Linked DNA regions of Mus musculus: all the other regions are reported to be linked to region 1. The links are microRNA targets in miRTarBase. Many come from high-throughput screens and were not tested one by one. Region 1 holds a microRNA gene; each other region holds the end of a gene's coding sequence. Distances are between the middles of the regions.

Region 1 (3,133 bases):
GTGGCTAAGATAAAAACTCGCAGAAGAAGTAGAATGGCAACATAATGAATTTATCTCAAGTACAGAGTAATTTTCATATGAAGAAACAATGCACAGAAGGAAGACTGGGTACGATCTTGAAATTCGAATGTGGAGGACATGTAATTCTGACCCTACCCTCTAAACCCAGCCGTCACCAGATCTAATGAGCCTTCTTTTCTTTCACAAGTTGAGAGAATATGGAAAATTTGCTAAGACTACAAGTGAAGCCACAAATCATTATTATGACATTGAAAGCCAAGAGACAATTAGTGAAATCAAGTAATCAAGTCTGTTGCAGAAAAGGCTGACACATGTCAAGTGCACTCTAGATACAGGGACCCAGAGAAGGTCCTTTTCAAAAGAGGAAAATGGATCTGGACTGCAAGATGAAAAAAGTATTAACTCCAAGGGCGTGTAAAGGGCATAAAAGCTACGTGCTACAGAAATGCACTTGTAAAACTTAAACACATTTAAAGGAGGACAGATCCCCATGATTTTGCAAGTTCATCCTGACTAGGTACCCTAGGATCCCTACCATCTCTAACATTTAGTCTTAAAAAACAAACACATGTAAACCATTTCAACATATAGCTTTTGGGTTTAGATCTTTAAAAACACAAAAATAACCGAGAGTTGGCTATAATATACGTGGAAATAAAATTTGAACAGTAAAATGATTAGAGAATATTCTGTCCTGTAATTTTTTTCTAATAAGCAAGATAAACAAAGTAATCTGAATTTTGAAGTTTAAAGATAAAAAATTTAAAGAACAAAGGAGAAAGAAATCTAACCCTTGCCTACAAAGTCCACCTATGAAATACACATAAGAACACCCATTCTTATTCTACAGAAACCCAAACCTTTCGGGTGACCGTGATCTCGTTCGTCTTTTTTTGCGAACAGCTGGTGAAGAAGGTCTAGAGCGACTCCTCTTCCTGTCTCTTTCAGGAGATGACGAAGAACTCGAATAAGATCTTTTTCTTGGGGAAGAAGAGCCCCTGTGGGACCTGGAGCTGGATCTTCATTGATTGAGAGACAAAGCAGACGTTTCATTAAAGGCAGAAGTGAAGACTGTCCAGTTCCCAAAAGCAAACAGGATTGTGACTATGAGGACTTTAGGAGGGAATACTTACTGCTTACTCAGAAGGCTTCTGGGTCAACCATCAACAAGTTCTATTTACACACAATCATTTCCTCTTTAAACCATTCTAAATAGTTACCCTTGGTAATTAAGAAGTAGTTTACTGAATTAAGACAGAATATTTTTATAATTGCTTATAGTGTTCCAATTTAAAGTATACAAACAGTGAAATCAATTCTGTGGTGACTTTATAGTCAGAAAATAGATCCTCCCATTTGTCAGGAAAATTCACTTTTTATAAAGCTTGCTGAAGACAATGAACTTAACTTCTTACAGGTGCTACAGACACCTGAGGGACATGGCCCAGAAAAAGAACACTGAAGCTGTGAAGTAGTCAATGAAAATGGCAACTCTACAATGTGATTTGTATGAGAACTGTGCTATGAAGTATGAAGTAGTAACATTTACATGTTTTAAGTGGAAGTAAATGTGTAATTTAAAGAGCAAATTTATCTCTATTTACATATTTTTAGTTGAAGGCATTTAGCTCAAACTTCCCAAAAAATTCACCTTAGGGCTTAAAATAAAATGAGAAAGCCCAAAAGGAGAATTCTTTGGAAAGTTGTAAGCAATTAAATGTTTGGGAAGGATATGAAGGCTGTCCTGTAAACCTCAGTCCTACAGTTCCCAGAGGGCCACACCAAGACTCCACAGTCTGAAGTGAGCACGGATAGTTAATGCAATAAGAAAGAAACCTTTGCTCTACTCAGCGCTGGTCAGCAGAGCACTGGTCAGTGCTCCATTACCCCTCTCTCTCCTCAGGGGGACTCAATGGCAGCTGCCTTCAAATGTTAGAATGGGCTCAAGTAAGTGAGTCTTTCTACAGAAGAGTTGTTAGGAAACGTCAATGTAAAAGCCACAAGTGAGATTTTAGAGGCTTTCGTATAAATGCTGTATGCCTGCAGGACACAACAATACAGTGACTGAACATGAAGGCAGCATAGTGAGCAAGTACAAAAAAGTTTTTCAAGGAACCAAAAGCCTAATGCTTCTATTGCCTTTTTTTTTTTTAACCAATCATTTTCCTTTGAAATACTCACAGCATGGCTTATATCAAACCATACTTAAGCCAACATCCTACATGACTTGGTTTTAAGAGGGGTGTTTGTTATACAGGTAATTTATAATATTCTTTAATGTCAGGGAGATGTAGTAAATACATAGAGCACTCACTAGAAACTGAGAAAAACCAGGCAAAGCTATTGTAAACATTTGCCTGAAATATAAAATGTTTCGAAGCTAGATGATGGAATGGTTGGTCTTCCTCTCAGAAATAACTTCTCACTTGTATGTCAAATTTAAATTAACTGTAAACATAAACTTAATATACCAGGTGGAGTAACTTGCCTTCACCTTCCTACATCACACGTATCTTAGCTATATGTGCAAGCCCCACCCCCTTTAATCAACCGTGGGAATGTGTGGCACGCTGTGCGGTGGGAACACTGTGTGGTGAGATTAAGCTGAGGTAGGTGCGTTAGATTCCCAGGGCTACAACAGAACGGACAAACAGAAGCAGGGCAATGAGAGAAGCAGCGGAGCCGTCTGAAGCCTGTGAGCACTCTCCTCTGCTCTACAGAGGCGCTACCTCATTCACCTTGATTTCGAACCACGGGATCTGGAATGTTCTCTGGAACCGGAGTGAGACCTGGACTGCGAACTGGAAGAGCTTCTTGAACGGGACCTGGAACAACACGGAAGCATTTTTTTCCCCTAGGACCACATTTTTGAGGTTTGTGATATGAACACTGAAAGAAAGACATATATTAAGAGTGCATTTTTCACATAAAAAGATGTCTATGCAAGAGATGCATTTTCCAAGCAAAAATACTTAAAACAAAGCTTCTTACTGTAATAAAGACTAAGTTTACAAGGAAAAAAAAATTAAAAGTTTCAGTGACCACTTTCCAAGCCCAATTAAACTGCCAAAAGGGAAGTAACAAGCACCATAGCTCACTGCAGACAATGTCA
Region 2 (3,133 bases), not on the chromosome of region 1:
GCCACTCCCCAGTCTTCACTCTTCTCCTTACAGCTCTCACCAGCAGGTCCCTGACAAAAGACCCAGTGGTTCTCACTGCTAGAGTGCGGTCTTTGGGCTTGTGAGGAGCACAGCATCTCATCCCTGCTTTGCTTGCCAGAACCTACACTTCATTACGTCACTAGTCTCTTGATCCTGCTTCCCAGGCATGTCTCTGAGGTCCCTCATAAGGCCACCTGGGCCTCCCAACTGCTTGGAGCTTGTGGGGGACCTAAGGCAAACGAGTTCACAAATGACGTGTCTAGACAAGAAAAGAAGAAAAGATGTGCTACCAGTATGTGTTAGAAATCAAATCCGTTTTATTGAAACCATAGCAACAACCAGTGTGGCCCTGTTCATGCGAAGCACAAAAACTTACAATAAACTTTTGTACATAGGAAGTTGTAAAATATATCATTTTTCATAGAAAAAAAAAGCACACAGTAAACTGCGGGCTGAGAAAGCCTACAGATCATGGAGAATCGGCACACCCCTCTGAACAGACCGGGCACAGCTTGGAAGCAAATGGAAACTCTCACCCAACGCAGGACCAGGCCGGAGCTGGGGGGGTTGGGGGGATGTGCAGCTGGTGTGGGCGTGGTCACTTTAAGGAAGAGCTGATGGATGGACACACAGGGTCAGAAGGGCTCTGATGTAAGGTCTTGTCATTTGTGGTTTTGTTTCCTCCAGTTTCAAACTATTGATGAAGGTGATCGATCGAGGCTGCTAGGCCAGGCTCTGTGCCTGATGGAAGGGCAGCCAGGGAACTCAGAGAACCTCAGTACAGACTCACACAGCAAGTTCCCTGAAGATGGGATTGGCTGCTCATTCTAGAAACCCAGAAGGGGTATGGTTTTCCTTACCACGTCAGCCTTGCCCTGCTGGCTTGGTGAAGGGTCCTACGGCAGCACTCCTTGTATCGGGAAGTTTCCCAGATGTTTGGTAGCAACCAGAGGTCCCCTTCCACAGACTGCGCAGATGTCTGCTCCAACATCTGGAGTGGAAGAGTTTATGCCCTCAAAGACACCACACCCACACCCATGAGGCAGAAACAGCCTAGTGAAAGGCTGACTAGAGCTGGTTCAAGGCTGTGTGCTTTTTATAATCTCCCCAGAAGGGGTGGATTGGGGAAAAGCTATCTTAGCACTCAGGAGGCCAGCCTGGGCTACATAATGAGGTCAAGGCCAGCCTGGACTACCATAGTGAAACTGTCTCAAACAAATAAACATTTAACCCAACTAGGGGGAGAGATTTGTTCAGACTCCCTTAGGGTTTTTTTCTTTTCTTTTTTTTTTTTAAAGAACCATTTGTACTTTGCTCCTGTGAATGTGTGTGGTGCCTGTGGAGACCAGAGATCTCTTGAACGGCCTGTGAATAGTGAGAACTGAGCGCAGGTCCTCCGGTAGAGCAACAAGATCTGTTAACCACCAAGCCACCTCCCCAGCCTTTTGATTGGGGGGATGGTGTTCTGTTTTATTTTTTAACCCCCTTCCCTTTTTTTTTTTTTTTTTTTTTGGTCTAAGAAATATTTGGCTGGAGCACGCAACCCTGTTTGTGTTTGGCTAGCACTCACCGGCAATCTGCCCCATGCTCAGGACTGGGGTGGGATTCCACCTTCTCTAGAGTAAAGCTGTTTACAGAAGCATGCTTCATTTTACAGTGGGTTTGGACCAGGCTCCTAAGTGATGGGAGCCAGGGCTCACCACACTCTTGGAGCCTGGGGATGCTGGCAGGCACTGAGGGGTTCTTCCTGTGTGTCCCGGGCCCCTCTTTCTGGTGGCTGGTGTGTCATGGGTGGTTTTACAACCACAGGCCACTCCATTAACCCCCATGAGGAATGTGCCAGGAATCTACTCCTCCCACAGCTTAAAAACTAGGTCACCCAAACCAGGGGGAAGTGACGTTCAATTGTCACTCTTGACGGCGGCTGGGAGGCAGCCCTTATTCTAAGAAGTGAGAAGACATCTGAGACCTGGAGCCTCTTGCAAAGCCAAACCCCAGAGGAGGACACCTAGATCTGCTGAGGGTGGGGCAGATGCCACAGGGTCAGGGAATGGTAGGGAAGGCTCCTGATGTATTGGTCCTCCATGAGACCAAAGGTCATGTGAGAAAAGGCCACACAGACAAGGACAAAGACAAGATAAATCTCTGGAGTGCTACCAACTTTAAATAGACCAGCTCTGCTGGACTTATAAGCACGTGACTGCCAAAAAGGTTGGGGAATGTGAGCACGGATAGACACCACCAGGGCAGAGCCCAGGTCTTGCTCGGGGCTTCTCCCTGCAGCCCATCTGTCTGACCAGCAAACACAGACCCCATTTCTCTGTCGGTAGGACGGACTGTAACCTTATAGCTGTCGACTCTTGTCACCCAGACAAGAGCCCCATTCATGACATATCTCAAACCTGTATCCTCAGGGTTCGAAAGCCTTCCCCCTCCACCACCAAAGAAAACATGGCAAGGAGTGTCTCAGTGAGCAGCTCCTGAGAGGAGGTGAGCCACCAGATGGGGACCGCCACCTGGCCAGCCTGGGCACTGGTTGTCCAGCCAAGAGACTCCACGGCACGCTGCTCATGAGGGGGAAGGTGCTCGGTCACCCTCACCAAAGGCCATGGAGGCCCAGGACGTTCAATGACACCAAAAGGAAGATTCCTGACTCTCTGTCACCCCCCACCCCCAAAGGACAAAGTACAGATAAAAAGCAGGACCCCGAATCCCAGTAGATGACACCCCCTTCTCCCCAGGTCGCCAAATTCACTGCCTGACGGCGAAGATCCGGAAGGCGTTTCCGTTCTGAGGAGTGTTCAGGCTGCAAGAGAAGAGGGAGAAGGAAGTTAGAAGAGAAAGCTGTGGGCAAAGGAATGGCCGATAGGGCCAATGTGGTAAGGTCAGAGCCCACAGAAGTCACACCCAGCTGGACGAGCCCACATGTGCCGACAGGAAGCTGTGGTGTGAGCCCAGGCTGAGGTTGCGGAGCGACTCTCTGGGTTTTACTGACACCTGTCTCAGACATCTGGTTGACAGATGATTTAAGGGGTGGCTTGAAGGGAACACACACCCGAATGCTACCCAAATATGCCATCATGGGTCTGCTATCCTTTCCAGGCAGGGCTAT
Region 3 (3,133 bases), 53 Mb from region 1:
CCAGCTATCACTGATGATATTTCTTGTCTCACTCTCATTCTCAGAAATATTTCAGCGGCCTCTTTGGAACATGAACAGAGAACTGGGCCTACTTCCCTTCTCCCAGCAGCCTGTCCTTGAGTCACCAGAGCTGACAGAGAGGGATCCAAATTGCTCTTCACCTGTGACTTGCCGCAGGTTACATGACCATGCTTTTGATTTTAGTAGGACTCGGATCATTCAAGATGGTACTGAGGGCACATGAAGCCCGTTGAGGAGGAAGTCTGAGCAAAGACTCAAGTTAGTTATTTACTACCTCAGAATTGAGAAGAAAAGTCAGTATTTGTATTTCTCTTTGCTTCAAGTTACATCTGACCACATCAGCGTAGCTCTGGTGTTTGGGCTTACACCTGGCAAAGAGAAGGTAGTGGCTGACAGAAGTGTACCACAGAAATGTGTACCACGTTGAAAGTGCACAGCCCTGGCAGAAGACAACATGGGCAGGTGTCCTTCCTGATCCCCACCGGGATGTGCCCAGGCATGCACTGCCTGTCATGAAGAGTCATTGCTGCTTAGCCTACTGGATTGTTCCAGTCCTCAGAATGGTCCTGAGAAAGCGTCTCTACTTTGATATCCTACTTTGCTTGGAAAAGCACAGGGCAGAGATATCTTCTGAGCTTTCCTAAGTATAACAAGGATTCTCCAGTGGTGTTGAGCAGAGAAGAGCTGCTGAGGCTTTGATATTCAAGGTCTTTAGCTAGAATCTAAGTTTCACCAACTGGTAGTACCAGATCAAAGGCTTTTGTATTCTTTGTGTGTGTGTGTGTGGTGGGTTTGTTTTGTCTGTATAACTGGGGATGTCATTGTAAATATATGTGCATTCATAAATAATTTTTCTACTCATTGACCTTGTGTGTTGGATACAGTGTAAATATTTTTGATATGCCCAAATTATATATAATGTCTGTCTGGTTACTGTATGGGCAGCGGCTTCTCCAGATCACAGATTTTATATAACTTAGTGTAGTGAGGTCTGCAAACTCTGTTTAAAGTTCTAGAATTGTGTGTTACCACGTGTATGTATAAAGGCAGGGTACTTAGTGATTGTGTGCTCATAGACTCAGTCTTGGTATAATTAACTGCCTGCTTCATGCCTGAAGTTCTGTGCATCTTGTACTTACTGTCTCTTTACAAGTGCCAGGTGATCCTCTTGTCTTGCTCTTCCAGAGCCCAGCAGTGTTGCCACAGCCCTGTGAGCACAGAAGATGACTTATTTCAGCAAAATACTTTGATGACAAGGAAACCAAAGATTGGCCTTTTTTATGTTTACTCTGTTTTCAGTCTCCTTCACGAATGTAGCATATTAAGAAGGGAAGTGTGCTCTTGGGAGTAGATCACACAAAAGTTCCTGTACTCTGTCAATTTAGTGTGGTTCTGTCTTTATACAAGTATTATTTAAGCCAAACAGCTTTCTGAATTTTTGATAGCAAAAAGCTTTATGTAAACAAAGAATGTTAACACTAATGAAATGTCATGTGCTTTCAGTCTGTCCTATGAGTATAATACCAGCTTCCTGCTCTCAACTTTTAAAGGTGTCTATTTATAAGTAACTGTATATATACAGAGTTCCAAACTCACAGCTTCTTAGCTTTTTGTCAGAAAGTTCAGGTGAATTTCTGACATTTTTTTCCCATGCTTTTTTTTTCAAACCTAAGTTTTCTTCCTCAGACAGCAGCACTGTTTGCTTTTGAAACTTTCGCTTTTTATTTAAACATGTTTTCTTCATTTCCACTTTGAACATTTAAAATGTATAGTGCTCTCATCTGTTTAGACTGTATGCCTTCTTTTAGGCTGTATTCCAGGTTTTTTACTGGTATGACAAGGCATTAAGAGCCTGCTCCCTTGGCACTGCTCGTGCTGGCTGTGTGTCTGAGTCTTACTGATAGAAAGAGACTGTTTATTAGCTGCTCTAAGCTGCTCTCCAGTTCCCGCCAGGAACCAAAGAGGATTGTGCCACTTGAGTGAAGAGCTGCCTTTGTGAACTGTTAGCTAGATCAAGGGTGATGCTGCTCCATCTAACTTGAGCTGTATTTATCTTGCCAATACAAGACTTAACGGTCTAAGACATGCTCAGGGGAGGAAAAAATGTTCTGCTTCTAAACACTGTCAGTAAACAAAAAACTCACATCCGAATTGGAAAAGTTGTCTTTTGTCTGGAAGCTGCTGCTCACAGGAGGCTCAGGATGGAGGTATACAGCAGCTCATTTATAGCTGGCCATCCCACTTTGTCTGTGGTCAGAGTTCTGTGCCCTCACGGAGAGCCCAGGGTAGTCAGGGTAGAGAGCAGGCCTTGACCTGGTCCTCTAGAAACACCTTACCCAAGATATCGCCTCCAAGCTCCAGCTGTGGCCCTTCTGCTGCGGTGTCCATTGGATCTCCTGAGAATTGGGGAGATGTTGACCTGCCTGCGCTTCCAGATCCCTGGCTGGCCTGAGTAACTGATTAGGAACCCATTTACAGACGAGAAGAGCCTGCCTCTGCTCCTGAAATAACAACAGAAGATTCTTACCCTAGAGAATTTGGTTTCACGTTTGACCATAGGACTAGTGTCTGCTTAGTTAACAAAATAATCTTCTCTGTGTTCACAACTAAAAACATGAAATTATGGCATCATTTTTCTGAAAAACAAAACCAATCCTACATTTCAGATACAAATGTCAGTGACAAACAATTTAAGTATATGTTGTATTATACATCTTTACTCTTGATTTTAATTTTTTTATTTTTAGCAGCCACTGGCCTTGAACTCTCTTGTCTCTCCCTCCCAAATGTGGAGACTAGATATATCTGGCTAGATTGATTTTTGTTCTTGCCTATAGAGCCAGCTGGAGTGGTATTGGTATTACAGTGTTCAGTTTATATTTTACCAAGTGTGTGAGGATGGCCTTTTCTCATAACACACTACAGGAGTAAGGAGTAGTAACAGGGAAATGTGGCTGTTTCCCTCAGGACTGGGATTCAACCATCAGGTTCCTGAATGCCCGGTACATGTCCTCCCACTCAACTCAGGCCCTGTATTTGTTCTCCTTAAGTGAGATATAGTTCATCTTTGGGCCTTTTTTCCAGGCTTTTGGCATTCCTAGGTATTAAACCT

Evidence for each region. The annotated mature microRNA mmu-miR-186-5p reads CAAAGAAUUCUCCUUUUGGGCU and lies in region 1 at 1,698-1,719, opposite strand. An mRNA with a match to its seed (bases 2 to 7 or 8) in the 3' UTR can be bound and repressed. Matches are read on the target gene's strand: a 7mer-m8 pairs with bases 2 to 8, a 7mer-A1 pairs with bases 2 to 7 and ends in A, and an 8mer does both.
Region 2: the mRNA of Crispld2 is a reported target of mmu-miR-186-5p. Seed matches in the 3' UTR shown: 7mer-A1 at 1,315-1,321.
Region 3: the mRNA of Lrig2 is a reported target of mmu-miR-186-5p. Seed matches in the 3' UTR shown: 7mer-m8 at 786-792.

The regions. Positions count from the first base shown.
Region 1 is chr3:157,542,871-157,546,003 of GRCm38, reverse strand. Mir186 (microRNA 186) reads right to left here and starts at 1,725; the gene lies at 1,655-1,725. Zranb2 (zinc finger, RAN-binding domain containing 2) reads right to left here. Exons shown (of 10, transcript NM_017381.3): 8 at 2,760-2,846; 9 at 882-1,040.
Region 2 is chr8:120,049,977-120,053,109 of GRCm38, reverse strand. Crispld2 (cysteine-rich secretory protein LCCL domain containing 2) reads right to left here. Exons shown (of 15, transcript NM_001310635.1): 15 at 316-2,827. The coding sequence ends at 2,773. Among named protein-coding and RNA genes, the nearest start is that of Zdhhc7, 50 kb to the left of the region's middle.
Region 3 is chr3:104,454,876-104,458,008 of GRCm38, reverse strand. Lrig2 (leucine-rich repeats and immunoglobulin-like domains 2) reads left to right here. Exons shown (of 18, transcript NM_001025067.2): 18 at 45-3,133. The coding sequence ends at 244. Among named protein-coding and RNA genes, the nearest start is that of Gm38412, 47 kb to the right of the region's middle.